Sus scrofa: one gene and its partner. The protein of the gene in region 2 interacts with the protein of the main gene of each other region in a pairwise test. Links are inferred from orthologs where the notes say so. Each region holds a gene or a part of one and is shown on either strand. Other genes may lie near its edges.

Region 1 (15,759 bases), on a different chromosome or scaffold from region 2:
AGGTTTGTACCTCCTGCTCGATTTTGCTGTGAACCTAAAACTGCTCTAAAAAATAACATCTATTTTTAAAATCCTGCAAAAGTTGTATACAAACCACCTTGCCCCACCGTGACTGTTGGGATTTGCAACCAAAACCCCAAGCCTGGCTCATTCTTGCTGAATCCCAGTCACAGCACATCTCATCCTACTAGGCCAAGGGACAAAAATAAGGAAACGTGGTGATCGCAAAAGGTGCCAAAAGGCAACCCCCGATTTTAACCGCTTTCCTTCCCCTAAAAAAGGTTTCATAGCAGTCGATCAGTGAAATAGGGATGCCTGATTTTTTTTTTTTTTTGTCTTTTTGCCATTTTGGGGGCCGCTCCCACGGCATATGGAGGTTCCCAGGCTAGGGGTCGAATCAGGGCTGTAGCCACCGGCCTACACCAGAGCCACAGCAACGTGGGATCCGAGCTGTGTCTGCAAACCTACACCACAGCTCACGGCAACGCCGGATCCTTAATCCACTGAGCAAGGCCAGGGGTCAAAGCCGCCACCTCATGTTTCCTAGTCAGATGCATTAACCACTGCGCCACGACGGGAACTCCAGGAATGCCTGCTATTAATGAGAGCGTGGAGAGCCGCCACCCTCACCTGAGGCTGGAGTATAAAGCGAGATGGTTTCCAGGGCACCATCTGACAACATTGACCCATTTTTCAGGGACTGACCATTTTTCACAGCCATTTTAATTCTAGAAATGTCCATAGAACTTCATATGGCATAGTACACAGGCTCTCTGCTGAGTACTGATCTTTGCAAAACCTCGGAAATCCTTTCTACATGCTTGCTAGGTGCGGGACGGGGAGGGCAGCCTGTAGGGTTAAGATGCCTCGGGAGGGCTGCGCACAGGGCCGGGGTGGGCCGGAAGCCCCGGGGGGGAGGGACTTTCTCCTCCTCACCGTTGTGTCCCCAGTGGCTAGGACAGTGCTTGGCCCACAGCAGGTGCACAGATGACATTGTTGAAGAAACGATTCTATTGCTGGCTTAAAAAATTGCAGAATGGCCCCATCTGCATAAAAAGATGTTTATCCTACACGTATGTGTTTCTAGATGCATGGGAAACACCCGAAAGGACACCCAGGAAACTGAACCGTGGACACCCCTGTCAAGGGGACAAAGGTGCAGAATAAAACAGGAGACTTGGACCTTGCAGTGCAGGCTTCGGTAATGCCCCAAGCTGCCCGGAAGCGTGTATTCCTTTTATGACAAAAATCTAGCTTAGGAGTTCCCTCTGTGGCACAATGGGATCAGCAGCATCTTTGCAGCACCAGAATGCAGGTTTGATCCCTGGCCTTGCACAGTGGGTTAAAGGATCCGGCGTTGCCACAGTTTTGGCATCAGTTACAATTGCAGCTCAGATCTGATCTCTGGCCCAGAAAGTCCAAAAGCCACAGGGCAGCCAGAAATACATTTTTTTTTAGTTTAACAAAATGTTACTTGACCTACCTGAGCCTCAGTTTCCTCATCTGTGAAATTAGGAATACTGACACCTGGCCTGGGAGAGTTCCTGTGACATGTAAGGAACAGATAAGGCCACATGAATAGAGCATTTTATATACAGTCCCTTGGTACCTAGTACCGGTCAATAACTACAGAAAACAGGTGTGGGATTTTTTTTTTGGTTGGGGGTGGCTGCCCACATCATGTGGAAGTTCCCAGGCCAGGGATCAAACCCGTGCCACAGCAGTGACCTGAGCTGCTGCAGTGACAATGCCGGATCCTTAACCTGCCACACCACAAGGGAACTCCAATACAGGTATTTTTTAGGAGACTTCAGGGACGCCTGCCTCCGGGCCTTTGCACTTACGTCCTCTGCCTAGAACAGTCCTTCCCAGGACATCCCCTGTTCTCTGCTCAAACGAAACCTACAGACAAGCTGGCTCTATAATCAACTTACTGAAATGTGCCCCCTGCTTCCACACCATCCCTCCTTACCCCCTTGACCTTGGCCTGATTTCCTCCTCCTCTTGGCTGGTAAACACTGTCTGCCAGAGTACATATTTGTTGTCTGGTTCCCTCATTACAGTATAAGCTTGAGAAGAAACTTTATCTCTGGCAACTAGAATAATGCCTGGCAAAGAAAGAGCAGGCATGCAAGAACTATCGTGGAATGAATCAACAGTGTCTGAAATATACACCATTAAGGAAATGCAAGCGAAACTTTGGAAGCTGCATGAAACCACGGGAGACCAGGAAATGCTTCCCAAATCTGAGCCAACTTTGAAGGCAAGCAGAGAGGAGAGCAGAGAGCCGGCAGCACAGCAACACTAACTGCTGGCAGGGGTGGGAAGAGGATGAGGCGCAGAGGCAGGCTCTGAAGTTCCCCAGCCAACCCGGGGAGTCGGGGCTCACCACACCTGCTCATCTGCAGAGTGCTGGGCTTTGGAAGGACTTAGGTTTCGGAGGGAATACTAGCCATAGAGAGTTTTTTAAAGCCCACTCTCGTTCTCCGGGTGAGAGATAAGATCCTGGATGTTGCAGGAGGGACAGAGAGAAAGGGGCAAGATAAGGTGCAAGCTTGTTCATTCATTCCTTCACTCCACCCGTGAGAGGTAGCAATGGGAGTTCCTGCTGTGGCACAGTGGGTTAAGAATCCGGAGTGCATGGAGTTCCCGTCGAATCCAACTAAGAACCATGAGGTTGAAGGTTCGATCCCTGGCCTTGCTCGGTGGGTTAAGGATCCAGCATTGCTGTGGCTGTGGTGTAGACCGGTTTTCAGCTCTGATTAGACCCCTAGCCTGGGAACCTCCACATGCCGTGGGTGCAGCCCTAAAAAGGACAAAAGACAAAAAAAAAAAAAAAAAAAAAAAAGACAAACTACTATATGCAAAATAAATAAGAAACAACAACAAAAAGAATCCGAATGCAGCAGCTCAGGTTGCTGCAGAGGTGCAGGTTTGAGTCCCAGTCCAGTGCAGTGGGTTAAAGGATCCCACATTGATGCAGCTGCGGCATAGGACTCAGCCATGGTTCGATTCAGTTCCTGACCTTAGAACTCTCATATGCCCCAGATGTGGCCATTGGAAAAAAACAAAACAAAACAAAACAAAAAAACAAGAGCTCTCGCTGTGGCTCAATGTGATCAGCCGCAGTGCCTTGGAAGCCTGGGATGCATTTTTCCATCCCTCGCCCCACACAGCGGGTTAAGGATCCAGCATTGCCGTAGCTTTGGCTTAGGTCGAGACTGCGGCTCAGATCTGATCCCTGACCCAGGAACTCTACATGCTGCAGGGCAGCCAAAAATTGAAAAAAGAAAAAAAAGACCGAAAAAGAGAGAGAGATGGAAATGACGGTTCCTGGACGCTGCTGGCAGGTGGGGCTGAAGGAAAAGGGGGTTTCTCCCTGATGGGTGACGATGCCGCTCTTGGGGGTCCAGACTCTGAAAGGAGGTGCAGGCTTTGCAGGAAAGGCTGAGTTCAGGCTGGGGCTTGCTGAGTCTGAAGAACCCGTGGGATATCCGAGGGCAAACTAGAGCTCCAGAGAGGCCTGGGCTGGATGTCCCTGCTGGAGTCAGTGGCACAGCAGGCGAAGCCGCGGAGACCGCATAGGCTTGGTCTCGAGATTAAGAGGTCTGAGGGAGGGAATGCGGGGCACATGCCATTTATGGGGTGGGGTGGGGGCCCTGGGAACAGCCCTGCCTAGAACTTGAGCAGGAATGAAGAGAAAGTGAGAAAACTAGCAGAGCACAGCATTTTAAGAAGCATGAAGTTATGGACAAGGTCAGATGCTGTAACACAGGTAAGATGGAAACCAAAGCGCCATCAGGACTCACTGGAGATTACCAGGAGTTTTCGGCAGGAAGCAGAAGCTTGAATCTGGCGTCTTAGACCACTTGGCCATCCTGACACACCAGAAGTTTTCAGGAGAATTGTGGGCAATGTGGGTCTTTCTGAAATTGTGTGACGAGCAAGCAGGTGAGGAAATTAAGAAAGGAGTCTATTCTCAAGAAACGCGACTGGGAAGGAAATGGTAGGACAATACCTAGGAGACCCTGAAGCGGTCTAAACAGGTTTCCTGGGATGGAGCGGACGGAAGGCAGAAGCTTAGGGTTCAACGAGTGACCAAGTCCATGGCATGGTTATTGCCCGAGACATCTGAGGTCCATGCTAGATGTTCCCAGGTTGATGAGAATGATCCAGAAGGGAGGAGCCATTGACGATGCTGGGAGAGAGCAGGGTCCATGGAGCAGGTCAGAGGGTACGGACCCCAATCCTGTGTGAAGGGCTGGCACTGCCCTGCATCTCAGTGGAAGGCAGAATGCCTGGGCGGAGGCGCAGGTGGGTGTGGTCAGCAGAGTAATGGCTCCCCAGAATGTCCACACCCTCATTTCCACAGCCTATGACGAGGCCGCCTTACATGGCAAAAGAGGCTTTGCAGATCTCTTTGAGGGTTAAGGACCTTGGAGCTCCCATTGTGGCTCAGCACTAACAAACCTGACTAGTGTCTATGAGGACAAAGGTTTGATCGCTGGCCTCACTCAGTGGGTTAAAGGATCCGTCATTGCCATGTGCTGTGGTGTAGGTCGCAGACGCAGCTCAGATATGATATGGCGTGGCTGTGGCGTAGGCTGGTGGCTACAGCTCCGCTTTGCCCCTAGCCTGGGAACTGCAATATGCCCCAGGTGCGGCCCTAAAAAAAAAAAAAAAAAGTTAAGGACTTTGAGGCAGGGATTATTCAGGTGACCTCAAAGACATCACGGGTCCTTACAAGTAGAGAGACCAGCGGGGCAGTGGAGGAGGGTCAGAAGGAAATGTGGTATAGACGTGTCAGGTGTAACGTGGCTCCTTTGAAGCTGGAGGAAGGGGGCCACCAGCCCAGGAATGTGGACGGCCTCTGGTGGGAAAAGGAAGGGAGTCACCCTCAACCTTCAGCCGGAAGTGCAGCTCTGGCTTGACCTTAGCCTGGTGAGTCGTCTCAGACGTCTTATGGAACTGCCCGAGAATACAGTCACATTGCTTTGGGACACCAAGTTTGTGGCAGTTTATGGCATTCATAGAAGACTAATACCACAAGCCAGGGGTTTGAAGTGGGAAGGAGGCAGTTCCCAGGAATGATGAAGCAGGGCTACCAAACACCTAGAGCAAGGCTGTGAGGGCTTGGAGGGGCTTTGAGAGGAGGGGGTGCGAAAGGCTCGTCCGGCAGAACAGGAAGGAGAGCAGGCTGGAAACCAGTGGGCCCAGGCTGCACAATAGGCAGAAGCTGCCCTGGCCCCACGGAGGCTGCCAGTGGTCTCTGCTCTGGGAGCCACGTTTGTTGAGAAAGAAAAGCGGCTTCTCTCAAGGGCTTCAGGGAAGCTGACTCACGGGTGGGCGGGGGCACAGGGCCAGAGTTCTGGGTTAGTGGCTTCTGACCTCAGGAGGGCCCTGGTGTCGGAAACACCTCTCTCTCCAGCTCAGCCGCCTGTATTTTTTGTTGTCGTTCTTCCTCTTTTGGCTGCCCCTGCTTGGGAGTTCCTGGGCCAGGGATCAGATACGAACCATAGTTACGACCTAAGCCCCAGCTGCGGTGAAGCCAGATCCTTAGCCCACTGTGTCGGGCCAGGGATCAAACCCGCATCCCAGCGCTCCCAAGACTCCGTCATTCCCCTCGCACCACAGCAGGAACTCCCAGCCTCCTGTACTGTGAACCCCATGGCCTGGGCTCCCTTCCTACGGCCTCTGGGAGGATGTGCCAAGTCTGGGCACCAGTGTAAAGAGTGGTTCCTTCTAAACAGTCCCTGGCTGATGCTCCCCAAATGGCATCAGAGCTCATGACAGTGGCCTCTGGTTGCTGCTGGGAGTCACAGGGGACAGAGGTCTCACAGGTGGACCTGGTGGACATGACCTCTATCAATTTATCTGGCCGATTAAAATAATCCCAGGAATGTCTCCATCTCTCTTGAGCTCTTTTATGGACCTGCCTTCGCCACCTCACCCCCTCCATAACTCATCTCAGTCACTAAAATTAAGGTGCATCTGGTTAGAGCCTGGTGGCTGAGGCCTAAGACTGGATCACAGGGGAGCCATGGTGAAACACCCCTGGTGGCCAGGACCTGCTGAGGGGCTCTTGTTCAAAGGGCTCTGGGGAGAGTTGGTTTTTTTTTTTTTAGGGCCACACCCGCGGCACATGGAGGTTCCCAGGCTAGGGGGTCTCATCGGAGCTGCAGCTGCCAGCCTACACCACAGCTCACAGCAACGCCAGATTCGTGACCCACCGAGTAAGGTCAGGAATCAAATCCGCAACCTCATGGTTCCTAGCTGGATTTGTTTCCGCTGTGCCACGATGGGAACTCCGGGACAGATGTTCTTAAAGCAAAGGGCACACACAGAAGAGGCGACCAGGTGTCAATCCTCAACTGTCACACGTTGACCCCACCTGGGCATTGCCAACTCTAAGTGAGGACAACAACAAGCTGCTTTGGGGTCCTGGGGCGGGAGGTGCAGGGCTGGGCCCTCTGTGGCAGTGGCTCCTATCAACGGACCACAGGCTCTCTGCGGGCCCTGACCCAGCCCAAGGGGGCATCCCCTTCCTTTCAAGGTTTCTGACCTCCTGGGCCCAACTGGACCTCAAGTTCAAGCTGCCTAGGCGGGAAACTGGGTGGGTCTCCCCGACCCCAAGGTCACTGGCACTGGGGAAGCGGCCTCTTCAATCAAGAAAAGGGACAACCTCAGTAGATCACCATCTGCATCGCACTCATGGACCCAGACTTTTGAAAGGAACGTCCCAACCACAAGGCCGGCAACCAGGCATTCGTTTCATTCCCAGAAGCTCACGAGCAGAATGGTCCAGGGACAGGCCGTTTCCTTAGAGCTTGTTGCTCTGGCGACCGACTCGTGCAATGGTATCCACCACCAGGGTGCACCCAATTCCCGGGAGGGTGGGCCATGCCTGAGGACCTGAGGGGAAACCCATCTGGAACCACGTGGCCACAGGGAGGTAGAAGCACTGTCCACTGTGAGACCTGCCACAGCTGTCCCATCTGCACTGCCATCATCCTACTTATGTTGCTGACCAAGGGCGAGGTGTCCTAAAAACACAGCATTAGACACAGGAAAAAATGTGCTTGGTTTCGTATTTCTGCATTTGGCACATTAATGACACTGACTTTCCAAAATCCTTTATTTAACAGAATTGGAACAAACGCTGGCAACCTACTACACGAACTCAAGTGTGCTAAATGCAAGACATACAGGGAGCCTTGCTTCTCTCTGGCAGCTCTGGGCAAAGCTGCAGAATGCCTCCCTGTGTCCTGGCTGAATGGCAAGTTTGAGCTTCTGCTCAGACCAGGGCTGCCAGGGCCCGAGGTCTCCTTCTGCCAGGACACCCGTGCCCAGCTCAGCATTGCTGTCACCTTTGCCCCCAGACCCACACAGTGCCTGAGAAGTCTGGGACAGGTGAAATCCCGGAGAGCCCTGGCGACCCTGCAAGATCCTTCCTCCTGCCTGTAGGTCCCTCCCTGCACCCACCAGGGGCTGGTCCATAAATATTACTCCTTCAGGAAGCAGGGCTAGCGGCCTAGCTGGGCTGGTTATCCCTGCTGTTCACGGCAAGCCATCCTCTGGAGGAGGGTGGCAGAACCAAGAGACCCAGGACCCTGCCCCGACACACTTGGACCCCAGGGAGGAGAGACTAGAGCATGAGAAGGCAGGGTCCACCCTGCAGACCCCAAACTGGCCATTGGTCACCAAGGTCTCCAGACACTATGGGCCATGTGCGCAGCAGTCAGACTGCCCAGGGCTACGGGCACCAACTCTGGCCCCTCAACAGTTGCCCGGCTCAGTTCAGCCTCTGGGGCCTCCTCCAGGTCAGAGGACTGGTCGTCCCCGGAGCCCCGCGGGCTGGGCAGTGGGGACCCCAGGGGACCTCCCACTGGCCAGTTGCTCCGCCCGTGGACTCCCGGTGGCCCGGACAGGGCGTCCCCCAGCAGGTCCCTGAAGCTGCTGCTCTCGCGCAGCGGCATGGACTCCAGCAGGTGGTTCAGGAGCTCGGCGGCGACGGTGGCGTCGATTGCCTGGCACGTGGACACGAACGTGTGCACCTCGTGCATGCACTGGATGTAGCCGGCGGCGAAGCGCTCGCTTGCTTCCGCCTGCAACTGCTCACGCTCTACGTTCGAGGATGGAAGGGGAGAGAGCCGCGCCGGGCCCCGTGAGCTGCCACTGCCGTGGCCCGGCCCACCCGGACGGTGACTCACCCAGGAGAGGTGGGGAGCGCGCACCCCGTCTCAGGCCGGGAAGCCCTGGCTGGGTCCGGGGCAGGGGCAGGCCAGGCGACCGCGCTCCCCGCCTCCGCCCACGCGCCCTGCCGCCACTCACCGCGCGCCCGGCCCCGCAGCGCGCCCTGCACGCGCCGCACGGTGAGCTCCAGCACCTCTGCGTTCTCCAGCTTGGCCTGCACCTGCGCGGGCGGGAGCGCCCGGTGGGGGAGGGGCGGTGAGGCCCGGCCCGCCCGCGACCCCCGCCCGCCCGCCCGCAGCCCTCGGGCGCCCGCCCGTCTCACCTCGGCGCCCGCCAGCAGCAGCCGCAGCTCCTGCAGGCTCTCGTTGATCCGCGCGCGCCGCTTCTTCTCCACCAGAGGCTTCCGGGCCTGCGGGAAGCGAGCAACTGAGCCCCGGCGCTGCACGGCTCCCCGCCCGCCCGCTCGCCCACGCGCGGCTACAGCCAGCACCTTGCGGTCCCCCCTCGCCTCGCAGCCGTCCTCATCCTCCCGACCCGCACGGTCCCGGCCGGGCGCCAGCAGCGGAGCCATCACCCACACCGACCAGACCGCGGAGAGCGCTAGAAGCCCCCCGCGCTGCCCGCAGCTCAGCGGCCGGGAGCCGCCCTCCCGGCCTCCCCGCGTCTGACGCCGCGTCCTTACGCCGGCGGTCGCGCCCGCCCATTTTATAGCGCCTTATTTGCATCTCAATGCACCGATTGGCCGCCCGGGCCAATGAGAGAGGCGCGCTTTGTCTGGCCCCGCCGCCGGGTCGCGCGGCAGCTGGCAGGGCGTGGCCTGCGGGCGCGGTGGGGGTGGGGAGCCCAGCCCCGCCTCTGGGCGAACCCAGCGCTGAGGGGCACCCGAGGGGGCGACGACCCGGGGCGCTGGAGCCCGAGGTGCGCTAGGTTGCCTTCCTACCCTGAGCAAGGTCCGCCGGTGGGCTGTGTGTGCGAGCCGGAGCTCACCCACCCATCATTCATTCACTCTTTCCTTCACGCTTGACTTTGTTGACCGAAGGCGCAACAGGAGAGGAATCCCATGAGGGCACCACCGCACCGGCCGCCGTCTACCGACCTGGAGAGAGGTCTACAGGTCCGGCTGGGGTGGCTGCGGAGTTCCTGGGAGGTGAGGGCCCCCAGGGCAGCAGGGGTGGGAGCGGGCCCGAGGCCACCTTGCGTTTCTTGCGGACTCAAGCTTTGCCATCTTCTGCCTGCTCGGGGGGCCTCCGCCGGCCCCGCCCGCACTGCTCTATCTTTAGGCTCTCCTTCTCTGGTGATGCCCCTTGCCGACCACCTTTTCTAGTTCCTGTCACCGCCAACCCTTCCCTGGTCCCCAACCCAAGCTCGCCCTTCCCTAGTTCCTACCCTCTCTGCACCCCCTTCCCTGACCCCCGCCCTCCCTCCCCTCCCAGCCTTCCCTGGTCCTCACCCCACTGCACGTCTTTCCCTGGTCCCCCACTCCTGCTCCTTCGCCTTGGCCCCCATCCCCAACTCTTGTCCCCTTCGTCCCCCTCTTTTCCCCCTTCGGCTCCCTTCCCCCCTCCTCTGCCCCCGCCCCGTCCCGCCCCGCCGGGCTGGCCGAGGCTGCCGTCTGGTCGCCGTAACTTGATGCCTGTGACAGTTGGCAGCTGCAGCCCCTTCAGCGGAGAAAAGCGGCGGCCCAGCCAAGAGCGACAGGTGTTGGCCGCGCCTTTGTCTCGGCCCGCTTTGTCCCTCGAGCGGGCGCGGGCGGTGGGTGCGCCTGTGGCCGCTAGACGACCGCCACCCCCAGGCCGGCCGCCCATCTGCTGGCCCGGCTTCCCCGAGGGTGGGGTGCGTGGTGGGTGGGGCCGCGCCCTGTGGGTCCCTGCCTGGCCGCTGCTGGGTCTCACCACCCCCCAGCAGAGCCAGAATACCAATTTGCCTTCTAGCCGCCAGGCCTTTGCACACACGGATCCTTGCACCTGGAACAGGCTGGGGCCCCCCTTGGGTGGCTCCTTCCTCCCTGTCTAGGCCTCAGCTTCCCTAGCCCTCTACCTGCCCTGCCCTTGCTCAGTCCTCTGCTTCTCTCCCGGGCCTGGGATTGTCAGGGTCTGCTCTTCGCCCCTCCAGGGGATAAGTGTCCCTGGTGGGGGTAGGTGCTCACCGGGACCCGTTATTTTCCCTGAGCAGGAGCCTGGCCTAGCAGAAGCGCTGGGTGGGTGGGAAGGTGAGATGTCCCAAGCCAAGCCGGCAGGCAGCAGGGCAAAGAAAACTCCAGAGACTGAAGTGTGGTTGGGTGGTAGGACTAGGCCACAGACTGGAAAAGTCGAGCAGAGACAGCCAGGTGAGAACGGGCAGAAGGGGCTCCCAGGTAGTTACAGAGGTCGGTTTGAGGTCTGAAGATGGATCTGGAGTTCCCGTCGTGGTGTGGTGGAAACGAATCTGACTAATATCTGTGAGGACACAGGTTCGATTCCTGGCCTCGCTCTGTGGGTTAAGGATCCTGTGTTGTCCTGAGCTGTGGGGTAGGTCGCAGGCAGGCCGGGAGTTACAGCTCCAATTTGACTTCTAGCCTGGGAATCTCCATATGCCATGGGTGCGGCCCTAAAAAGATAAAATAAATAAATACATGAAGATGGGTCTGACAGCTATTCAGGTGACTATTTCACCTAAGACTCCCCACCAGAGGGACCTCCACAGGGAGGGCAAGTTTGGTCAGGTGCCTGATGGTTCTCGAAGTCACCTCACTAACCTCATAACTACCTGGGGGCCCTTTCTGCCAATTCTCACCTGGCTGTCTCTGCTTTTCTTTCCTTTTCTCTCTTTCTTTCTTTCTTCCTTTCTCTCCCTCCCTCCCTCTCTCTCTCTCTCTCTTTTTTTTTTTTGCCTTTTAGGGCCACACATGTGGCATATGAGGTTCCCAGGCTAAGGGTCAAATTGGAGCTGCAGGTGCCAGCCTCCACCACAGCCACAGCAATGCCTGATCCGAGCCGCGTCTGCACCTACACCACAGCTCACAGCAACACCGGATCCTTAACCCACTGAGTGAGGGAAAGGGTCAAACTCATGTCCCCGTGGACACTGGTTGGGTTTGTTACTGCTGAGCCACGACGGGAACTCCCTGTCTCTGCTCTTCTGTGTGCAGGGCCCCGAGACGTCCCTAGGGCTGCGTTGCTCCCCCAGGTATGAACCCACTCCTTTCTTTCAATCGCCCCCTGTTGTCCTGTGTCCCCCAAAAGCCCAAAGCTTGGCTCTCTTCCTCCCATCCTCCCCAGCCTGGTCAGAGGCCCAAGTGCCCTTCCCCCTGTACTCCTGGGTGAGGCTGGCAGAATGAGGAGGGGCTTGGGTGGTAGATGCCGAGAGAGCCAATAGCTGGCCTGTGACTTGACTTGTCTGGACCATTTAGACATCACCCCAGGGAAGGAGAGCCACCCACCCCTCACCCCCCAAGGAACTGCAATGAAAGTTCCACTACTTTGGGAGTTCCCTAGTGGTCTAGTGGGTTAAGCATCTGGTATTGTCACTGCTGTGGCTTGGTTTGATCCCTGGCCTGGGAACTTCCTCATGCTGCAGATGAGGCAAAAAAAAAAAAAGTTTCCACTAGTTTGAGAAACTCAGGTATGGAAAAGTAATTTCAGTGATATTTCTTGTATTCTGATCCATACTCTTCCCATTACTGATTATATTGTTTGAACACAAGTATTTTAGAATGCTGTGTTGAAAGGCAGGTTCATATTGGTACAGGATGCTCAGGGCCCTAGGGAGGCCCTCTGGGAAAGGTGGTCTTTTCCTGATTGGATGGGGAGCTGAATGTAGGAGGTGGAGGATGAACGATAAAGGCAAATGGTGCAGGCAAAAAATGAAAGGCCATAGGAACTCCGGGAAAACCCAAAAGCCGCCCAAGAAGAGAAATGTAGTCTTAGCACTTACTTGGCCCAGGAGCCAATTCTTTCACAGTCCCAGTGATGTAACGCTCTTCATAGGGCTTCGACATTTAGAATCAATCTAGAAAAGGCAAGGAAGGCTTCATTATGGTTGCAGACTATAACGTTGACTTTGTAAAAACAAAAGGACAGGTTACAGTTGTCAGGGGAAGGGAGGAGGCCGACGAAGGGCTAGGGGTCTCAAAAGCCTTGTCTACATGGGGTGAGGGATCGAGGAATACTGTCTGGAGTTGAAGGCAGGAGAAATTAAGTGCTGGGATGTGCCTCCGTCTGACCAAGTACCTTGGGGAATAAAAGTGGAGGAATAGGGCAGGTTGTGTGAGTCCGCAAAATCCTTCCTGCTTAGACTAGAAGTTGCCCAAGGTCTCATCTTTGAAGTCGGCCTCAGTTTCCTTAGTGGGCCCCCTGGCTGGGCTGTTAGGCCTTTTCCTCCTAGAAGCCTGGGCACTTCATCTGGAAGCCACCAAGCCCTTTCTCCCTCCTTTGCACGGCCTCCCCAGCAGACCGCTTCCTGCCATTTGTCCCTTGCACTGATTCCACCTTCAAAGGTTGCTTGAGCACAGACTTCCTGAGCATTTGGGCTCTTTGATCCCCTCACATCCAAAAGCAGAGGCCAGCAGAGGCTGGGTAGGGCTGCCGTGTCCACAGGGGGACCAGTTCACGGCAGGAGTGGCAGGCCATAAATTCCCAGGGAACAAAGGCGGTGGCCAGCCTATGGATGTCCAGGCCCCTTGTGGCAGTCAGCCCCGAGGCTTGGAGAAACTGCCTTTGGTTTGGAAATAAAGGGGAGGGGCGGCTCTGGGGTTATGTGGGAAATAAAGATGCAGTTAGGAGCCCCTGAGGGCACGCAGAAGTTCAGTGAAAGAGCCATATATGGCCATTTAGGGAGTTTGCAGACTGGGGACCTGGCCTTTGTGTGCCCAGCCTCCCCACCCCCAATCGCCACTTAGACTTACTCACTTTTTTTTTTTTTTTTTTTTGGTCTTTTGTCTTTTTAGGGCCGCACCCCCTGCATATGGAGAGTCCCAGGCTAGGGGTCTAATGGGAGCTGTAGCTGCCAGCCTACACCACAGCCATAGCAGCGCCAGATCCGAGCCACGTCTGCGACCTACACCACAGCTCATGGCAACGCCAGATCCTTAACCCACCGAGTGAGGTCAGGGATCAAACCTGAGTCCTCATGGTTCCTAGTCGGATTTGTTTCCACTGCACCACGGCGGGAACTCCTATTTACTTTTTATTTTATTTTTTTGTCTTTTTGGGGCCTTACCCATGCCATGTGGAAGTTCCCAGGCTAGGTGTCAAATCAGAGCTGCAGCCTACACCATAGCCACAGCAATGCGGGAGAACCGTGTCTGCCACCTACACCACAGCTCACGGCAACGCCGGATCCTTAACCCACTGAGGTCGGGGATGGAACCGGCGTCCTCATGGATACTAGTCGGGTTCGTTTCCACTGAGCCACGACGGGAATTCCACCACTTGGACTTCGGTGGCCAGGCCAGGAGGCTGAGTCAAGCCTCCCTCCTGCTCAGGGAGCTTCTGGAAGATTGGGCACCAGGTCCAGGATCCGCTCATCGCCCTGCTCCAGTTCCACCGCAGCCCTGGGGCGAAAAGTGGGAGGAGGGAGGATCGGGCCTCCGCTGTTTGGACCAGGCCCCGCATGGCTTCACACAGGGCGAGGAAGGACGGGGCCTGGGCGGAGGAGGCTGGGCCGGCTGCCTGCCTCACCTTTCTGGCCCTGGATCCGTCAGCCCTCTGCCTTTAACCCTGTGGCCAGCACGCAGGAGCCAGCCCAGCTGGGACAGACTACGTGGGCAGGGTGGGAACAGGATGGAGGAGGCGCCTGGGGTCCCCTCTGGGTGGACAGGAGCACCGGCGGCTGTGCTGCGTGGCCCCATGCCCCCTCTGGGAGTGGAAACCTCGGGGAGGGGGGGACTGACTCTCAGTGTTCCATCAACATCATTCCATCAGCATTCACTGAGCTGGGGGCGGCCTGTCGGTCACACAGACGGCAAGCGGCCAGTGAGAGGCCGAGGGGGGCCTTTGCAACAGAAGAGTCCCTACCCCAGAATTTCCAGGGTTTTATTTGTTTATTTATACATGAAAACATTTTTTTTTTTCTTTTTACGGCAACATCAGATCTGAGCCCCATCTGCGACCTATGCTGTAGCTCGTGGCAATGCTGGATCCTTAACCCACTGATCAAGACCAGGGATCAAACCAGCATCCTCATGGATACGACGCTGGGCTCTTAACCCACTGAGCCACAATGGGAACTCCCTCTAGGATTATTATTTTTTTCCTTTTTAGGGCGGCATATGGAAGTTCCCGGCTAGCTGCCGGAGTGACACCACATCACAGCCGCAGCAATGTGGGATCCGGGCCACGTCTGTGAGCTGCACCACAGCTCACAGCAACCCTGGATCCTTAACCTACGAGAGAGGCCAGGGATAGTACCCGCATCCTCATGGATACTAGTCGGGTTTGTTACTGCTGGGCCACAACAGGAACTCCCTCCCTCTCGCATTCTTTTAAAAAAACAATCCTTTGATAATCTTTGATCTTCAGCCTTTTCTCTGTGCTATGTTAAAAATACACACAAAAAATAAAAATATACTTGCTTTATTTACCAATTTTCTAAAAGGCAAAAAAGTCATAAAAAGACACAAGCAGTCCAACAAACATATTGCACTGGGTGAAGAAAGTTCGGTTTGTGCGTGAACAAACCACTTGTCCGGCAAGGCCTAACATGTCATGACACAGACTCTGAGAGCTTATTTACATCTCTTTTGAGGAATATATTAAAAAGAAGGCTCAGTTTCAAATTGAGAAGTTTCTATAACACCCGCGTAAGCACACATACGAAAGAATACGTAAGACGATGCATGGCGCCATGTAAACAATTTCACCAAATGCTCCTATTGTCAACTTCTCAGCACACGGTTGAAGCTACACAGTTAACAACGGGCAGGTATGTGTGAAGAGTGAGATAATGCCAACGGGGAACATTCGTGACAGTAGAGAATGTTTTGGCAGTTTTGTGTTTAGGTGACATCAATGCAGCCCTGGCTATCGGCGAATCCCTTAATGATCTGACTTGAGAGGCAGGAACGTTAGTAGCATCTCATCTCCACACAAACGCACAGGCTACCCCTCGTCTGGGGCCTCTGAAGGTGATGTTACTTTGTAAATGAAAAAAAAAATCTTTTTGTGTCTGAGTTTATGAAAAATAGGATTGATATTCAGGCGTAAAATGGTTTGGCCCACAAAACCCAAGTGGATTACAAGGAGACGACACCTCCTCCAGCAGATGCTTCACCATCAAAGAACCAGGCAAGGGCTGCTTCCGTGTAAGTTTCTAGACTCCGTCCAATCCTAAGTCGATTGTCTGGCCACTGGTACCTGCTCATTCACTCTGGGGACCAAGATAACGTTGTTCCAAACAACCTTTGGGATTAATGACGCACTATGAGGTTTCGCAAAAGGTGGGCAGTCTGGTCTCGCTCTTCCCCCAGGGTCCCATTCACCCGAAAGTGCCAGTGACACTAGTGGATGTCCCCGCACAGACCGGAAGCTGCACCACTGAGGTCAGGCTCGTGAGAAGCATGAGGGTCAGGGTCCCAGCTCAGGGTGCGGT
Region 2 (15,515 bases):
CAGAATCCCAAGTGTATTCCTCCCAGAAAGAGGCAGGCTTGGCCTTTAACCGCGTGGGCCTGAATCACCACATTACCAGCTCAGGGCCCAGAAGCACTCCTGTCTCCATGAGTGAATAACACAGCGATGCCCTTCCTGCCAACAAAGCATGAGCTCATGTATTTACTCAACCTCGCTTTCTCTACTAGAAAGAGACCCGCATTAGGAAATGTGGACTCGCAGAGACAAAGGGGCATGCCGGCCTCCTGACTCAGAGGCGCAGAGCAGAGACGGAGCTGATTGCTGGGACCGGCCTCTGGCACAGCGTGGCCTCGAAGCTGAGCACAAGGCTGTTGTTCTCTTAAAGAGGATCCTTGTGCTTTGGTCAAAAACCACCACCCAGAACAAGCGACCAACCAGGATCTGCCGGGCGCAGGTGCTCTGCCAGGTCCCAGGTGGGGCTTGCTGGGGGCAGGGGGAGGTAAGCCACCACAGGGCCAGAAGGTTGGGGGTCATGAGTCTGGTCTGGTCCATGCCAAGAGGGAGCTGGCAGGGGAGAGCCGGGAACCAGAGAGAGGTGTTCGGAGGCCTGAAGAGGACGGCAAAGCAGGCAGCATCCAGGAGTACTTCGTGGGAACCTCAACACCCAGAGAAAAGTTTCCAGTGCCTCCCCTTCCTGTTACCTTCTCACAGAGCGGCAATCTTGAAAGCTGAGTCCAAAATTTAAAGGGCATGGAGGGTAAGACAAGAGCAACCCCAGTGCCCTGAATTCAGAGATAAGATGTGAACTGCCACATCAAAAACAGCCCCTCTGGAGCTCCCATAGTGGTATAGTGGAAATGAATCTGACTAGGATCCTTGAGGACCCAGGTTCAATCCCTGGCCTCACTCAGTGGGTTAAGGATCCAGGGTTTCCGTGAGCTGTGGTATAGGTCACAGACACAGCTCAGATCTGGTGTTGCTGTGGTTGTGGTGTAGGCCAGTGGCTACAGCTCCAATTTGACCCCTAGCCTGGGAACCTCCATATGCTGGGAGTGTGGCCCTAAAAAAAGCAAAAAAAAAAAAAAAAAAAGTCACCTCTGAAAACCATTCAGAACTTCCACCTGGTCCTCTCCTCCATGCACCCAACTCTCCTTCTGAGGCTTCCCCTCTGGTCCCCCAGGCCTGGAGTAGCCGCACACTCCCCCCACCCGTTTCCAAACTGCTGCTTTTCTGCCTTCAAATAGCGTTTGAAACCCAGGGACCTCCCTCTTCATTTCATCTTCCGAATTCCTTTTACCTCTGGAACTCAGGAAATACTTTGATTCCTTGAATATAGAAATTTTTCTCTGCTGACTTAAGCACCCGGTGGGTATTTCTCCATCCCTGTATCCACCTATCTCGGTGCTGTCCTCAGGCTCCTCTGGGTCACAGCAGATGCAAGATATTAAGGGAGTTCTTGTCGTAGCTCAGCAGTAACAAACTCAAGTGGTATCTGGGAGGGTGTGGGTTCCATCCCTGGCCTTGCTCAGTGGGTTAAGGATCTGGTGTTGCCTCGAGCTGTGGTGTAGGTCGAAGATGCAGATCAGATCTGGCATTGCTGTGGCTGTGGTGCAGGCCGGCAGCTACAGCTCTGATTCGACCACTAACCTGGGAACTTCCATATGCTGTGGGTGTGGTCCTAAAAAGACAAAAAAAAAAAAAAAAAAAAAAAAAACAGTAGACTCTGCATTGCCCTGTCATGTCACACAAAGTAGCCACTAGCCACGTGTGGCTAGTCCAAACTGAGATTTGTGAAGCAGGACTCTGTCATAGCCATCAGGTATTGAGACCCTGGCGGTCAGCAAAGAGAGAAGTTCAGAGCACACCCAATGGAGATGGGTGCCTGGGCCCTATCACAGCTCCTCCATGATAAAATCAGGATAACAGCAATGAAGAAGCAACTAGGGTTAAAGAGATTAACATTTGAAAAAAGCACTCTGAATTAATATTTTGGAAGTGGTTTTATTAAATTAAAAAAAAAAGAAAGAAAAGAAAAATCGCCCAACACTTGCTAGGCTCAAAGTTTGAAAAGGCTGTTGGCTCTGGCTCCATCTGTCCATCTGTCCATTTTGCTCATTCTAAGTTGCCCAGTGAGCAACAAGAAAAATAACTCCTGCGCCATCACCCTCACGTAGGGGCAGAGCCTGGCCCAGTGACACTTACTGGATTTCTACAGATGAGGTTGAAGAAAGAGTGAGCTGCTAAAATGAATTCCCTAATCCGTCCCTTCCCTCCAGCTATGGGCGCGGAAGCACTGGAGGAGCCCTGCTGACTCATGTGTCTAAAACTGTGTCAAGAACCATGTTTCTGAGTGAAGGTGACACAGAAGGGTGAAACACATGCCTGTTCTGCCTTAGATGTTTAATTTCGTGCTTCCTTTTCTTTTCTTTCCTTTTTTTTTTTTTTTGTCTTTTGTCTTTTTAGGGCTGTGCCTGCAGCATATGGAGGTTCCCAGGCTAGGGGTCCAATCAGAGCTGTTTCTGCTGGCCTATGCCAGAGCCACAGCAATGCAGGATCCAAGCCGCGTCCGCAACCTACACCGCAGCCCACAGCAACACTGGATCCTCAACCCACTAATTGAGGCCAGGGATCGAACCCCCAATCTCATGGTTCCTGGTCGGATTCATTTCTGCTGCACCACGACGGGAACTCCAATGCTTCCTTTTCTAAAGGCTTTTCTCTAATACTGTTAATGTGAGTGCTCCCTTTGCCAGAGGGGGTGAGCTGACCAAAGCCAAGGAGAAGGTGGTAGATTCCAGGCAGCTGGGCTTGCTCCTGGATAAAATGACACCTGGACAGGGATTATTTAGTTATTGAGAAACACTCGATACTCTTAAACCATTTTGTGGGTAAAGTTCATGGAATCTCCTCTTCTAATGTTCTTTTGTTGATTTTCTGTTATTCTTTTATCACTTGGCTCCTGTTTTCACATAGGAGGGTCTAAGCAAAGCCAAAAACATCTAGTATTGAAGACCTTTGGTACCTCCATCTAATTTATGGTATGCCACCCTTTGGCAAGAGGCAGGAATGTTTTTTAAACAAACCTGGCATCTGTACATGGCTGAAGAATGAGAACATGAGGGAAGGAAATATAAAGTCTGAGTGACATCCAAGCACAGCAGCAAGACCGTAAGCCCCAGCCCCATGAGGACGGTGACACGGTTTCATCTTTTTATTCCTAACTCCAAGCCTGGCATACGGTAGGCTCTTAATGCGTGGGCTGAGCGCCTGAGGGCAGCAGCCAGAGAAGTAGGAATAAAAGGGGGCCTTCTGGCCCAAGTACTCCGGGAGGGAGCCTCCCCTTGGGAAACCACCTCTGCTCACCTCACCAGCGTCTGGTTGTGCAGGTCCCACACGGCAATGTTGCCATCACTGCAGCAGGAGAAGCAGACCTTGGAGTCAGGGCTTATGGCCAGGGCATAGCAGGCGGGGGCCGAGGATGTCAGCTCTGCCTTGATGCGTGGGGTGGGAGCCGCCAGGTCCCAAATGGACAGAGTACTGGCTTCCCCTCCCACTATGAGAGTGCAGCCATCAGGGAGCAATTTGCAGGAACGGATGTAGTTATCCCTGTTCTGTGAAATAAACATAATTTAATTGCTATAATGCATGACCAAGCAGTCACAATGCCATTTTCTCCAACTGCTATCTTGGCTGTTGACTTAAAAAAGTGGTATTGCATGGACACTAGCAAAGCACGAGTCTTGTGATAAAGATCAGGATCTGATGGCCACTGGCTCTTTAGAAGCAGTAAACAAACACCCAGGGTTGCTCAGGCATGTGTGGTTACCCAGAACTGCTTCTGATGCCCAATTTCCTGCCGAGTAGACGGAACTGCAAAGGATCAGGAGACATAAGGTAGGTGCCCATGTACTTCTCCGTGCAGAAACCACTTTTCAAAGCTCGTTTATAAATCTTTGACCTCATCACCCTCCGTTATTTACTATATAGAAATGGCAGACCTGCTGCCTCTGTTTTGGTTTTCATTACCCTTAACTCTCTGCCTAAGGCTTGTACTGTGTCTTCATTAGCCAGATGGATCCTTGTCTAAGAATTTAACAAACAGCTGCTTTCTCAAGATGTAACGAGGCTGCTGTCATATTTAAGCCTCTCAATCCAAAGGCCAAAGAAATGAATAAAAGAAGGCATATCTCTCTCAAAAACAACACATTAAAAAAGGAGGTGGGACTTAAAACAACACCCCCTGCCCCCGAAAGAAATAACTGCTATCCTTTAACTCAACAGATACAGGTCAAGTCTTTACTATGCTTTAACTGTGGCCTGTTGTTCAAAGACTAGAGAAACATTAAGCAACGCAATTTCAAAAAAGGAGAGAAGTGTTACAAAATTCTCCTACCACTGTAGTCTGTTGGTCGATGTTTATGTATGTTTCCCTATGTTTACATTTCATTAATGGAGATATTTTTAAGTTATCTGATTGAAAAAATAAACTAAGAACTATCCCAAAGAGTCTTTCCATCGCAAAAACAATCATGCTTTTTTTTTTTTTGGAAACACCGTCTTGGGAACCCTTGCCATTTCACTTGCCAGGCAGGCAGCGGGGACAGTGAACCAGCTGCCACAGCAAAGTGACACCCTACAGGAGCAGAGCGGCCTGCAGTCTGCCTATGGCCAAAGGCAAATGGTCCATAAATCCTGTGGTCACTGCACAGAGAATATGTCGAGACATGTACTATGATGCTCAGAAATGCAACACGGTATTGTCACACTTCGGGGAAGGTAGACTGGTGCCTTGGGGAAGCACTGCTCCCACCCCCACTCTGCTGATGACCGCCCTGATTTTTCACTGTGATCTATTAACTCTTTCCTGAAGTTAAGATCATAAAACCCAGCCAGGTCTCCCTGAAAACACAGACCCTGTTCAGAATGGTTTTATGCCACGTTATCAAATGTTTACTCTTCAATATTTATCCTAAGGCTGTAGGGAAATTACAAGTCGAGTGGATTGCAGGGCTCAGAGTCCAGGCCTAGCTGTGCTCCATCCATTAAACGGGAAACCCCCTTCTGAATACATTCACACAAGGACAGCTTCTGTAAACTACTGTGAAAATATTTTTTAAGAGAAATCCATCAACTCTGGGATTTAAATCACTGAAATAGCAACAAATGAAACCTTCACACTGAGGGGAGAGGGTGGGGAGAGCTCAAGAGCTAACACAGGAAACAGAATGGGCTTCCATTTCCTCATAATGGGAATAAAACCCAGGCCCCGACAGCGATTTCCTTATTGAGTCTCCAGGGGGAAATTACCCTTGTGCACCGGTGCCTTCTCACTCACCAGACAGTCGAGCTGAGAGACGGGGCTCTTGTTGCCAGGGTGGCTGATGTCCCAGACCTTGACGCAGCCCTTCCCCCCCGTGTACACGTGCCTCGTGGGGTTGCTGATGGTCACCGCGCACACCACCTCCCCGTGGTTCAGGGTGTTGATCTGGCGAGCGTGGCGGGGGATGCCGGGGCCGATGAGGGCGTCGGGAGGGAAGGGCACAGGCTGCATCTGACCATCTGCAGTAACGTGGAAGGAGTAGGCACTTTTGGAAAGGAGAGGATTAGGGAGGAGAGGAGAACAGGAGCGGAGAGAGAAAACACATTTATCATAAAGCCATTAGTCATTACCCACCCCCCCACCACTTGCACAAAGGAAAGAGGCTTGCTATGATTTCCTTTTGAAATCAATATAAATTGAAGTATTTGCAGATGGAACAAACAAAATAATAGCCACAGTCGAGGGTGTAACTGAACTATATTTTAAATTTTTTAGAAGATGTTTAAATTGTGCTTCTTCGTTCCATAAAACATTCCTCCAAAACCCATTATGAAACAGTGAAATGTGCTTCCAAATTAACACAGAATACCTCCCTCCATGTACCTTGTATAACTGTATGATTTCCTAGAGTGATATAACGTGATGATTTTTGATGCTTAAGATGAAGCTCTCATACTATTAGCTCATAATAATTACACACAGTAAACAGTATGCTTCAACACTGACAAACAACAACAGCTTTCTAAACATAGCATTTTAAGTTTTGGACTTAAATTCTCTTTTGCCTAATTCAGAGAAAATAAGAGCTTCTCCTACATCAAATGGCTTTGAGACAAAGACTTCAAGTTTCCTCTTCGACAAGATCTTTGGCCACAGAGCCCAGTTTCAACCAAGGCAGCAAAGCTCCCAGCCAAAAGACTATTTCCCAGCTTTGCTTTAGCCAGCTGTGCTCATGTTCTGACTGGTAAGATGCGGGCAGAAACTGTCAGGTGGCCCTTGGTTCATAACTTAAAAGAAAGGGGGCCTTTAGCGACACGGAAACTATCTGTCCTCTCCACTCAATTTTGCTGTGAACCTAAAACAGCTCTAAAAAATAAGTTTATTAATTAAATAAAAAAGAAAAGAAAAAGGGTTTAAAAAGACGAAGAGGGGTATTCCTGTCCTCCTCTTCCTTCTTCCTGCTACCTGAACTACAAGCAAGATAATTGGAGCTCCAGCGGCCTTTCTGGGCCACGAGGTGACTTTGAAGATGAAAATCAATTCCCAAGGAGGGGAAGAACATTAAGATAGGAGGCAGAGGCCCTGGTGGCACTATGGTGCTATGATAACTGCCTTGGGCACGGAGAGAGATAAACTTATATGTTATTTAAGCTATTGGTAAATACCAATAAGCCTAATCCTAGTGCATGCTTCCACCCAAAACCGTAAAGCATACTTGTTCCCTAACGATCTATTTAAACTTCAAGCACTAATATATTATAGACACTATAAAATATGCACAAAGAAAAGAACTTATAGAGGAAAGAAGACATAGAAGTGCTACTATTTCCCATCCAAATCTGAACAAGACACACTGAAGACCACTGCTTTCACTTTCTTCTTATGCAAAGCCATCACTTGCTGATTTAGAAATATAACATTCAAGGAGTTCCCGTTGTGGCACAGTGGTTAACGAATCTGACTAGGAACCATGAGGTTGCAGGTTCAATCCCTGGCCTTGCTCAGTGGGTTAAGGATCTGGCGTTGCTGTGAGCTGTGGTGTAGGTTGCAGACGCGGCTCGGATCCCACGCTGCTCTGGTGTAGGCTGGTGGCTACAGCTCCAATTGGACCCCTAGCCTGGGAACCTCCATATGCCGCGGGAGCGGCCCTAGAAAAGGTAGAAAGACAAAAAAAAAAAAAAAAAAAAAAAGTTTAACATTCAACTTTTTCTATAGGTCTGCTGTACACATAAACAATAAATGAAATATGCAGAGTTTCCTCCTTCCCATAACCCTCTGGGATAAGTCTAGGCTCTTTCTGGAACTTATCACTAGCACCCTGCAGTCCCTTTACAGATTCTAAAGACCATGGCTATTAACACAGAACTTAAATTTTCATTTTAATGCTAACTCAAATTTGGAAAAATAACTTAGCATGCACAAAACTGAAAACCGATACAAGATATCAGGTTTCTACCTGCCTGCACATAGAACCCACACACTTCCTGGCTTGCAAATAAAACATATGCAATTATTTTCTTTCTAAAAAAAAATATCGAATATATGAAAAGACTTTTAAAAGAATTTCCCCTTCCCTCTACCAAAAGATATGTAATCTCCTGGTAAACTGGTTCCAATAATGAATATAAAATGGCTATTTGGCCCAAATCCTTAACATTACTCTTCATATGAATTACTGACTACACACAATGGGAACCACACCAAATGTCCTAGGAAATGAATATACATAAAAAACCACCACAGTTCAAAGCCTGTATGTCACCAAACCACTAAATCTCCTATTTTTTTTAAGTATAGTTGGTATTTGTTTGTTTGTTTATTTATTGTGTTTTTTCTCCTTTTCTATTTATTTATTTATTGTGGTTTTGTTTTTTTTTTCTCCTTTTCTAGGGCCGCTCCCACGGCATATGGAGGTTCCTAGGCTAGGGGTCGAATCAGAGCTGTAGCCACTGGCCTATACCAGAGCCATAGCGATGCGGGATGCGAGGCGCGTCTGCGACCTACATCACAGCTCACAGCAATGCTGGATCCTTAACACACTGAGCAAGGCCAGGGATCGAACCTGCAACCTCATGGTTCCTAGTCGGATTCGTTAACCACTGCGCCATGACGGGAACTCCTATAGTTGGTATTTAATATTACATAAGGTACAGGTGTATAACAGTGACTCACAATTTTTTTTTGTCTTCTGTCTTTTTAGGGCTGTACCCGAGGCATATGGAAGTTCCCAGGCTAGGGACTGAATTGGAGCTGTTTCAGCTGGCCTACACCACAGCCAGAGCAACACAGGATCTGAGCCATGTCTGTGACCTACACCACAGCTCATGGCAACACCAGATCCTTAACCCACTGAGCAAAGCCAGGGATTGAACTCATGTCCTTATGGATACTAGTCGGGTTTGTTAACTACTGAGCCACAATGGGAACGTTGCGATTCAATTTTTAAAGGTTATTATACTCCATTTACAGTAATAAAATATTGGCTATATTCCCTGTGTTGCACAATATATCCTTGCACCTTATTTTACACAAAGTAGTTTATACTTCTTAATCTCCTACCCCTATATTGCCCCTCCCTCTTCTCTTCTCCCCCAGGTAACCAGTAGTTTGTTATTTTCATCTGCAAATCTGTTTCTTTTTTGTGATTAAATCTCCTATTTTTTTATGTCACAGTATCCTTTGATATCCTTAGTAACGTATCAAGCCCACATGATATTTATTTATTTATTTTTGTCTTTTTTTTTTTTTTTTTTTTTTTTTAGGGCTGCACATGATATTTAAACATACATACATTATAGTTAGTTGAACCTACGCCATTTATTTGGAGTTGGAATCAAATAGGATCGTATCAGTGTCCTGGGTTTAAGGAGTTCCTGCTGTGGCACAGTAGGTTAGGAATCCCATCCACAGGATTCAGGATCCTATGACTCGGATTCAATCCCTGGCCCAGGAACTTACAAATGTTGCAGCTGCAGCCATAAAATTAAAAGAAAAAAAAAAAAAAAGACTGGGGTTTAAGTCTATTCACATTCTAGGAGAACTCTTCAAGGTCCAGAAGCAAGTTACATGACTCAGATACCAGGCACCATGACCTGGGTCTGAGAATAACAAGCAAATAACGAGATGGAGCTGGAGAAAATGACCACTAAATGTTCATAAAATAAAACAATCAAATGGAATGTCTTTTCTGAAAATGGTGGTTGACGTGGGGAGAGAGCTTGCCTCTTAAAGCTTTCTGTGCTGTGAGAATAACAGCAGATGTAAATTATGTTAGTTATTCCATTTGCCATAAATCAAGGTGGGCACCTCCAGGTAGGCAGTCTCCATCAGATCCCCTTTTAGCAATTCCAGATTTTTATTGGAAGAAAACGTTATCTTGCTTCAATTGAAACCCTTCTTATTACAGAGTTAAATGTTCCAGATTAAAATAGATGCACAGAGGACAGACGGAGAGCTGTATGCTTGCCTCTGGAAGAGCCCCACCTCTCTCCCAGGTGTCCTCGTCTTTAAACTGCACAGGAGGTCTGTGATCATCACACTGAGGTGGTTTAAAATTGATTCACAGTACAGCGAACTGCTGCCAGAAGCTGTGAACATTCATCTGTCCCAGGGGAAACCCATATGGATGTTAATACATCAGTCACAGGGGGCCTTGGAGGAAGCTGGCGCTGCCCGCTGTGCTGGAGAGCCTCATCAAATGAACAAACCCGAAAGAGGCAAAAGGCTTTGGGGTGGGTAGAGAGGGGCTCACAGAGAGACTGATGGGAAGGGACAACCAGGGGAGCAAAGGAGACAGCCTGGAGTCACTTATTCACCTATCCGCCTCCAGGAACAACAGAATGTCTTTGAGAAAAGGATACCTACCTTGATAGTGACCATGTTAAAGAGATTCCAGAAGGACACTTACCCTCTTGACTGACTGAAGAACTAGGAAAAGTAAGATCAACCAGGAGGGGGAAATTATAAACAGATAATGTACGTTCATAAATAGCTATCAAGACTGAATTGAGAGAGAGACTGCCACAAAAGAATGCATATGGCATGGCTGCATTTACAGGCAGGATTCACCTCTGGTATCAGAAGTCAGGGTGGTGGTTCCCCTTGGCAAGTGGAAGGGGGATGGGGGGGTTTCTTGGGTGGCTCTGGGTGCAGAGTCACGGGGCTATACATGCACTTTGCTCATGTATACCACAATGTGAAAAGCTTAGATTTATGTGTGTATTCAAGAAAAAAGCAACAGGAGGGCTTCCGACCAATGAACACAGTAGATTAGGTCACAGCCAGGGTGAAAGCCTAGACTCTGGCATTAAAGGGACCTGAAATGCGGGGCCGGGGTTCATGGCCCCACTGACTATGGTCTCTTAACTACCTGTGGCTTATAATACGTCTGTTTCCTGATTGACGAGATAGAAAAAAAAAATAAAATATAAGGGTGGCAGGGGTTGTTGTAAGGATTAAAAGAGACAGCAGCTGCAAAAGTGCAAAACAGTTACACTATGCTCGACACCTGCAAGGGCCTTCGGGAAATGACAGCATCGTTATGAAACACCCGTGACTTAAAAAGAGGAAAGTGAGGCTAGGCTGAATCCAGGGCTCTTATCTCGACCAGTGGACAAGTGTGAGGGCCAGGAATGCGGAAAGGGAGGACAGTGCAAGGAAGCAGCCAGGAAAACACGAGGCAATGATGCGGCCAGGAAAATCAGCAAGTTCATAAATCTTAAAGGCGAGGTGGGGAGATAGCACCAGGCAAAGGGGAGCAGAGGACGTTCGGAGAGGCTTGGGACAAAGTGTGGGGCAGAAAGGAAGAGCCCCTCAGGCTCTGGTTAGCGGCTGCCCACTCGCCTCCTGGAGCCTCAGAAAGCTGAGTCCCCAACCACTACCTCGGCTGCTCGAATCAACTCCAGATCAGGAGCTAATTCTGAGATCTGGTGGCAGAAGTGAGGGGAATAAAGCCCCCTGGACATCACAGATTTATTTTTTTTTTGTCTTTTTGCCATTTCTTGGGCCGCTCCCGGGGCATATGGAGGTTCCCAGGCTAGGGGTCTAATCGGAGCTGTAGCTGCCAGCCTACGCCAGAGCCACAGCAACGCAGGGATCCGAGCCGCGTCTGCAGCCTACACCACAGCTCACGGCAACGCCGGAACCTTGACCCACTGAGCAAGGGCAGGGATCGAACCCGCAACCTCATGGTTCCTAGTCGGATTCGTTAACCACTGCGCCACGACGGGAACTCCAACATCACAGATTTAAAAACTGAATGAAATCAAACTCCTTTGGAGCAGGGCACACAGCAAAAGTGAAGGAACTCAGAGTTGCCACAGGCGCTGCCAACGGGGAATCAGGACAGAGTTGCTGGGAATCAGGTTGTCCTTCCCTAGCAGAGAGGCTCCTGCTAATAAAACCATGCTGTGTTCTCTGGCCAAAGGAAAACAGGTGTTCAGAGGTGCTGGCTTTCTGGAAACAGGTCTGGCAGTGGCAAGACCCAGCAAGCAGTAACGAGGAAGCAAGGACCCAGGAGATAACGGCTGAGGCCAAGGCCCCGCTGCCTGTGGACCTGGCCCTTTCAATGGAAAATTTCTTGCCATACAACCAGGTATGCAAAAGAATTCTGCTCACATCAAAACCTTCACTCGCTCTTCAAGCAGTCAGTGAGCCCTTCACGACTGAGTGTCAAGGAGCCTTGGTTCCTGTGACCGTCTTGTCTCCTCAACTCGCAGCCGCCGGAACAGGCCAATCCCCTAAAATATCGCATGCTGTCACATCTTCACAGTGCACACAAACTGTTCCCTCCTGCGGAGAACAGTGCCGCCTCCTCCTCAGCGCATGTCACTTCTTCCCTTCCTCCTTCCCTCAGGCAGCCTGCATAACCCCCCAGGCTGAATGAATCCTTTCCAGGGCCTTGGCTTATCCTATAAATTGGAATCATGCTGAGGACTTCTGCCCACGTTTACATCTGTCTGTCTCATTCCCTGGTCCTCCGGGAACAGGTGGGATGACTTCGCCCGCAAGCATACAGTGGGCCCTCAGTAAATGAATCCAAATGCCCTATATTGCTATTTGCTATCGAATGACAATAGATTAAGGTGTGAGAGGTTGTTCCATCAAGGCGAGGACAGTCAGCTCCAAGAAGGTGGGGATCCTCTCGCCACCAGGGATCTGCCAGCTGATGTTCCGAAGTTGTCCTACCAGATTAGCCAGTCGTCCTGGCTAATAGGTAGTACCAAGCTTCCCAAGGAGGGAAAGCAGTCCCCAGAGACTCGGAACTGGCCACCGGCAAAACAAAGACAAAGAGAGCAATGGTAATCACGAAATTCACAGCCCTTCCCCAGCAGCAGGGCCCAGCGGACGCTGGACCTCCTCAGACACCATCTGCAGTAGAAGCAGCTGTGAGTCACATGTGACAAGCTGGCTCCTTGAGCCCGGGTGCTGAAGAACATATAGGACAGTCCTGGAAGTGAGGAGACCCAGATGAGGTTTCAGTTTAATCACTAATAAGATGTAGGGACCATATGGAACTTATTCGGGCCTCAGTTCCCTATTTTTATAACATGCCCTGATGAAACGTACCCTGTAAATGTGACTGCTGAGGCAGGGGGTAAATGAAATCGTGTGGCACAGTCCACGCAGAAAAATACGAAGCATAATAGAGACGCAACCTTTGGTTCTCATGTCACAGGGGCAGCTCGCCGCCGCTTATTATTTAGAGAGGAGAGGAAGCAGTACAGGAGACAGTAACTGATCCAACTCTGCTCGAAAGTAGGAGGTCAGGCCAAGCACAGAAGCGGGGCTCTAACCTTTACCGTAGCTTCCACTACCTTTGACACTCTCACTGCAAGAGGGTCACAGGAGTGCGATGGAGTCACCTACCCTACACAGAACGAGAACACCAGGCGTGTCAGCATCTTCCCTGTGCTTCCTTACGGAGCCCTGGGCGGAGGACTGGGGCATCTAGCTCACTTTAAGTCAAATGAGAATAATATGAACCTAAGATTTTGGAGGATACTCTCAGCCTCAAGAACTAGTGCAGTGAAGGTGGTGGCTGGGGTGCTATGATGTGGAGTCATAAGAAAATCAGAGCCATATTATTCAAAGATTTCAGGGGAAAAAGGGTCTTCGGGTGCATCACCTACTTAGGGCAAAATGTCTTTCTTTGCCAATATAACAAGCTTTACCTTTAACATGTTTTAGGGTCTGCACATCTAACCCATAACCTCTGAGAAGTCCTTGACTTCTTCCACAGGACTTTTCCAGTTTGACTTCCAGGCATCCTCCCAAATAGCAAACCTGCAGATCAAGGCGCAAGCCCTGCCCTATGTGAAGACAGCAGTTCTACATCAACGAAGGGCTTTGGTAACAAATTACAAGCTGAGGACTTCAAAGCATTAAGACAGGAGACTTTGTTTGTTTCCTTATTTAGGTGAATACACGGCTATTCTCATTTTTTAACAATGCAGATACAGAACTTCTTAGAATAGTTAGGAGAAAGAAAATTACTAAACAAAGCAAACAAGAAGAGACGGCCTAGCTGATACACTAGAAGGTTCCCTGGCCAAAGTCGGCATTTACGATTCTGATCTCTAGGCCCTACTTTCTCTATAAATTAAATGTTTCCAAATTGTAAACATACTGGGCAGCAACAGGGCTCCTATGCAGGACAAAGGTACAAACCGAGAAATGCCTGGATGAAAAGTACGACAAAGGTAAATCTGAAATATGGCCACTTCAAAGCTCAATTCAAAAATCCTAGCAAAGGAACAAACCACGACAGGCAAGCAGTATTTATCTGAGCAAGAAAAAGACAAACTGCACTTACACCTGGTAAGCTGAAAGCCATTTCTGAAGAGGTGAGGGACGAGAGAGAGAGAGACGTAAAGGGAGGGACAATTGTGCAACAGCTAAACATAAGTCACATGAACAGAAGGGCCTCTCACCTCAATATAATCCTAAGAAATTAGCCTCACATTCCAGACCTTCAAAAGGTAGAAAAACAGAAGTCAAACCAAAACCCACATGGTGATAACATCACACAAAACCAGCATGTTACTTTTAGCACTTAACAGACCGAAAAACACCCAAATATCAGAACAAGTAAAGAGGATGCTGAATTAATTTTCAAATCCACTAAATAGACCAACAGTGGAATCTAGTCATGGTCAACAGAGAAATGAGAAGCAAAATCAGGCGGGGGGCGGGGCGGCAGGGGTGGCCCCTGAGATACGCCTTCTCGGGCAGAAGCCAGGAATGCCTCTGTTCACTGCTGCAAAACATGTTTTCCTAAGAGGCAATTTTACCCAAATGTAGCTTAGCTTTTCTCTTCTCTTTAGGCTCCAACTCCAAAAAGGCAGTTTAAAGATTTATTTAAACACTAAACAAGTGGGTGGAAGATTTCTCAATTACATGTCTGGCATTAAAACACAGGGTGAAGGAATCTGGAACTTAGCTGGAATCTTAAGCCAAGCTATTATTAGTGTGAGTTACGACTGACCTCTAGGTGCTACTATACGAGGCAGGTAGAGCTCGGCCCCCAGGAATTTATGGAGAGAAAAAGTGGTGCCAAGGGACTAGGAACACACCTTGAGGGGAGGGTGGTGCAAAGCACAACAAAGATGTCAATCTGTCTAAACCTCAGGATGCTCTTTTTTTTTTTTAATCAGTGATCTCCACAGAATTCAGGGAATATATTTCCTGAAACTGAAGTAGAGCTTGAATAAAGTTGACCAAACAATAGCAATTAAATTTCACCTTGAGGGTTTGGAAACACAGTCAGGGTTACAGCTTCTAAGTCAGCACTACCCATCTCTAAAATGCAAACTGTAACTTCCTTTGGAAAGAGGATGAGTCACAGGGTCTTACACAATCCTGGGCTCATCTTCCACCCATCAACGAAGCAAATATTCATTCACTGGGAATCAGTGCTCAAGGGAACTTTAGAAGCTTCAGTTCTAGTGGGGAAGAAGCAGATAGAAGTAGGACCTGTACACATGATCACAACTCAAGGCTAAAGTGCTATAAAATGTCCGTGGAGAGGGATCACATGTGGGAAGGAGAGGGGTCACAGGTGGGAAAGCATCAGCAAAGGCTGCATGAAGGAGCAAACAGCTGAATGGTCTTCTTTCTTTCTTTTCTTAAAAATTATTAAAGTATGGTTGATTTACAATGTCGTGCCAATTTCTGCTGTACAGCTCAGTGACCCAATCACACACACACACACACACACACACACACACACACACACACACATTCCTTCTCTTATATTACCTTCTATCATGGTCTATCTCAAGAGACTGGATATAGTTCCCTGTATATAGTAGGACCTCATTGCTTATCCATCCTAAATGCAATCATTTGTATCTACTAACCCCAAACTCCCAGTCCATCTCACTCCCTCCCTTCTCCCCCTTGGCAACCGCAAATCTGTTCTCCACGTCTGTGAGTCTGTTTCTGTTCTGGAGACTGGTTCCTTTGCACTAAAATAGATTCCACATATAAGTGATTTATTTAAACATGCATTTGT

Evidence for each region.
Region 1: the proteins of transducin-like enhancer protein 1 (region 2) and HES6 interact in binary tests that used the Homo sapiens proteins (3 or more experiments, as listed by UniProt). The link is inferred for Sus scrofa from reciprocal best matches to the Homo sapiens genes TLE1 and HES6.

What each region holds. Positions count from the first base shown.
Region 1 is NC_010457.5:137,778,691-137,794,449, forward strand, and holds HES6 (transcription cofactor HES-6), read right to left. Parts: upstream 9,000-15,759; 5' UTR 8,765-8,999; coding exon 8,684-8,764; intron 8,603-8,683; coding exon 8,516-8,602; intron 8,414-8,515; coding exon 8,332-8,413; intron 8,123-8,331; coding exon 7,698-8,122; 3' UTR 7,118-7,697; downstream 1-7,117. UniProt on the Homo sapiens protein: Does not bind DNA itself but suppresses both HES1-mediated N box-dependent transcriptional repression and binding of HES1 to E box sequences.
Region 2 is NC_010443.5:234,282,221-234,297,735, forward strand, and holds part of transducin-like enhancer protein 1, read right to left. Parts: intron 5,547-15,515; coding exon 5,297-5,546; intron 3,573-5,296; coding exon 3,325-3,572; intron 1-3,324. UniProt on the Homo sapiens protein: Transcriptional corepressor that binds to a number of transcription factors. Inhibits NF-kappa-B-regulated gene expression. Inhibits the transcriptional activation mediated by FOXA2, and by CTNNB1 and TCF family members in Wnt signaling.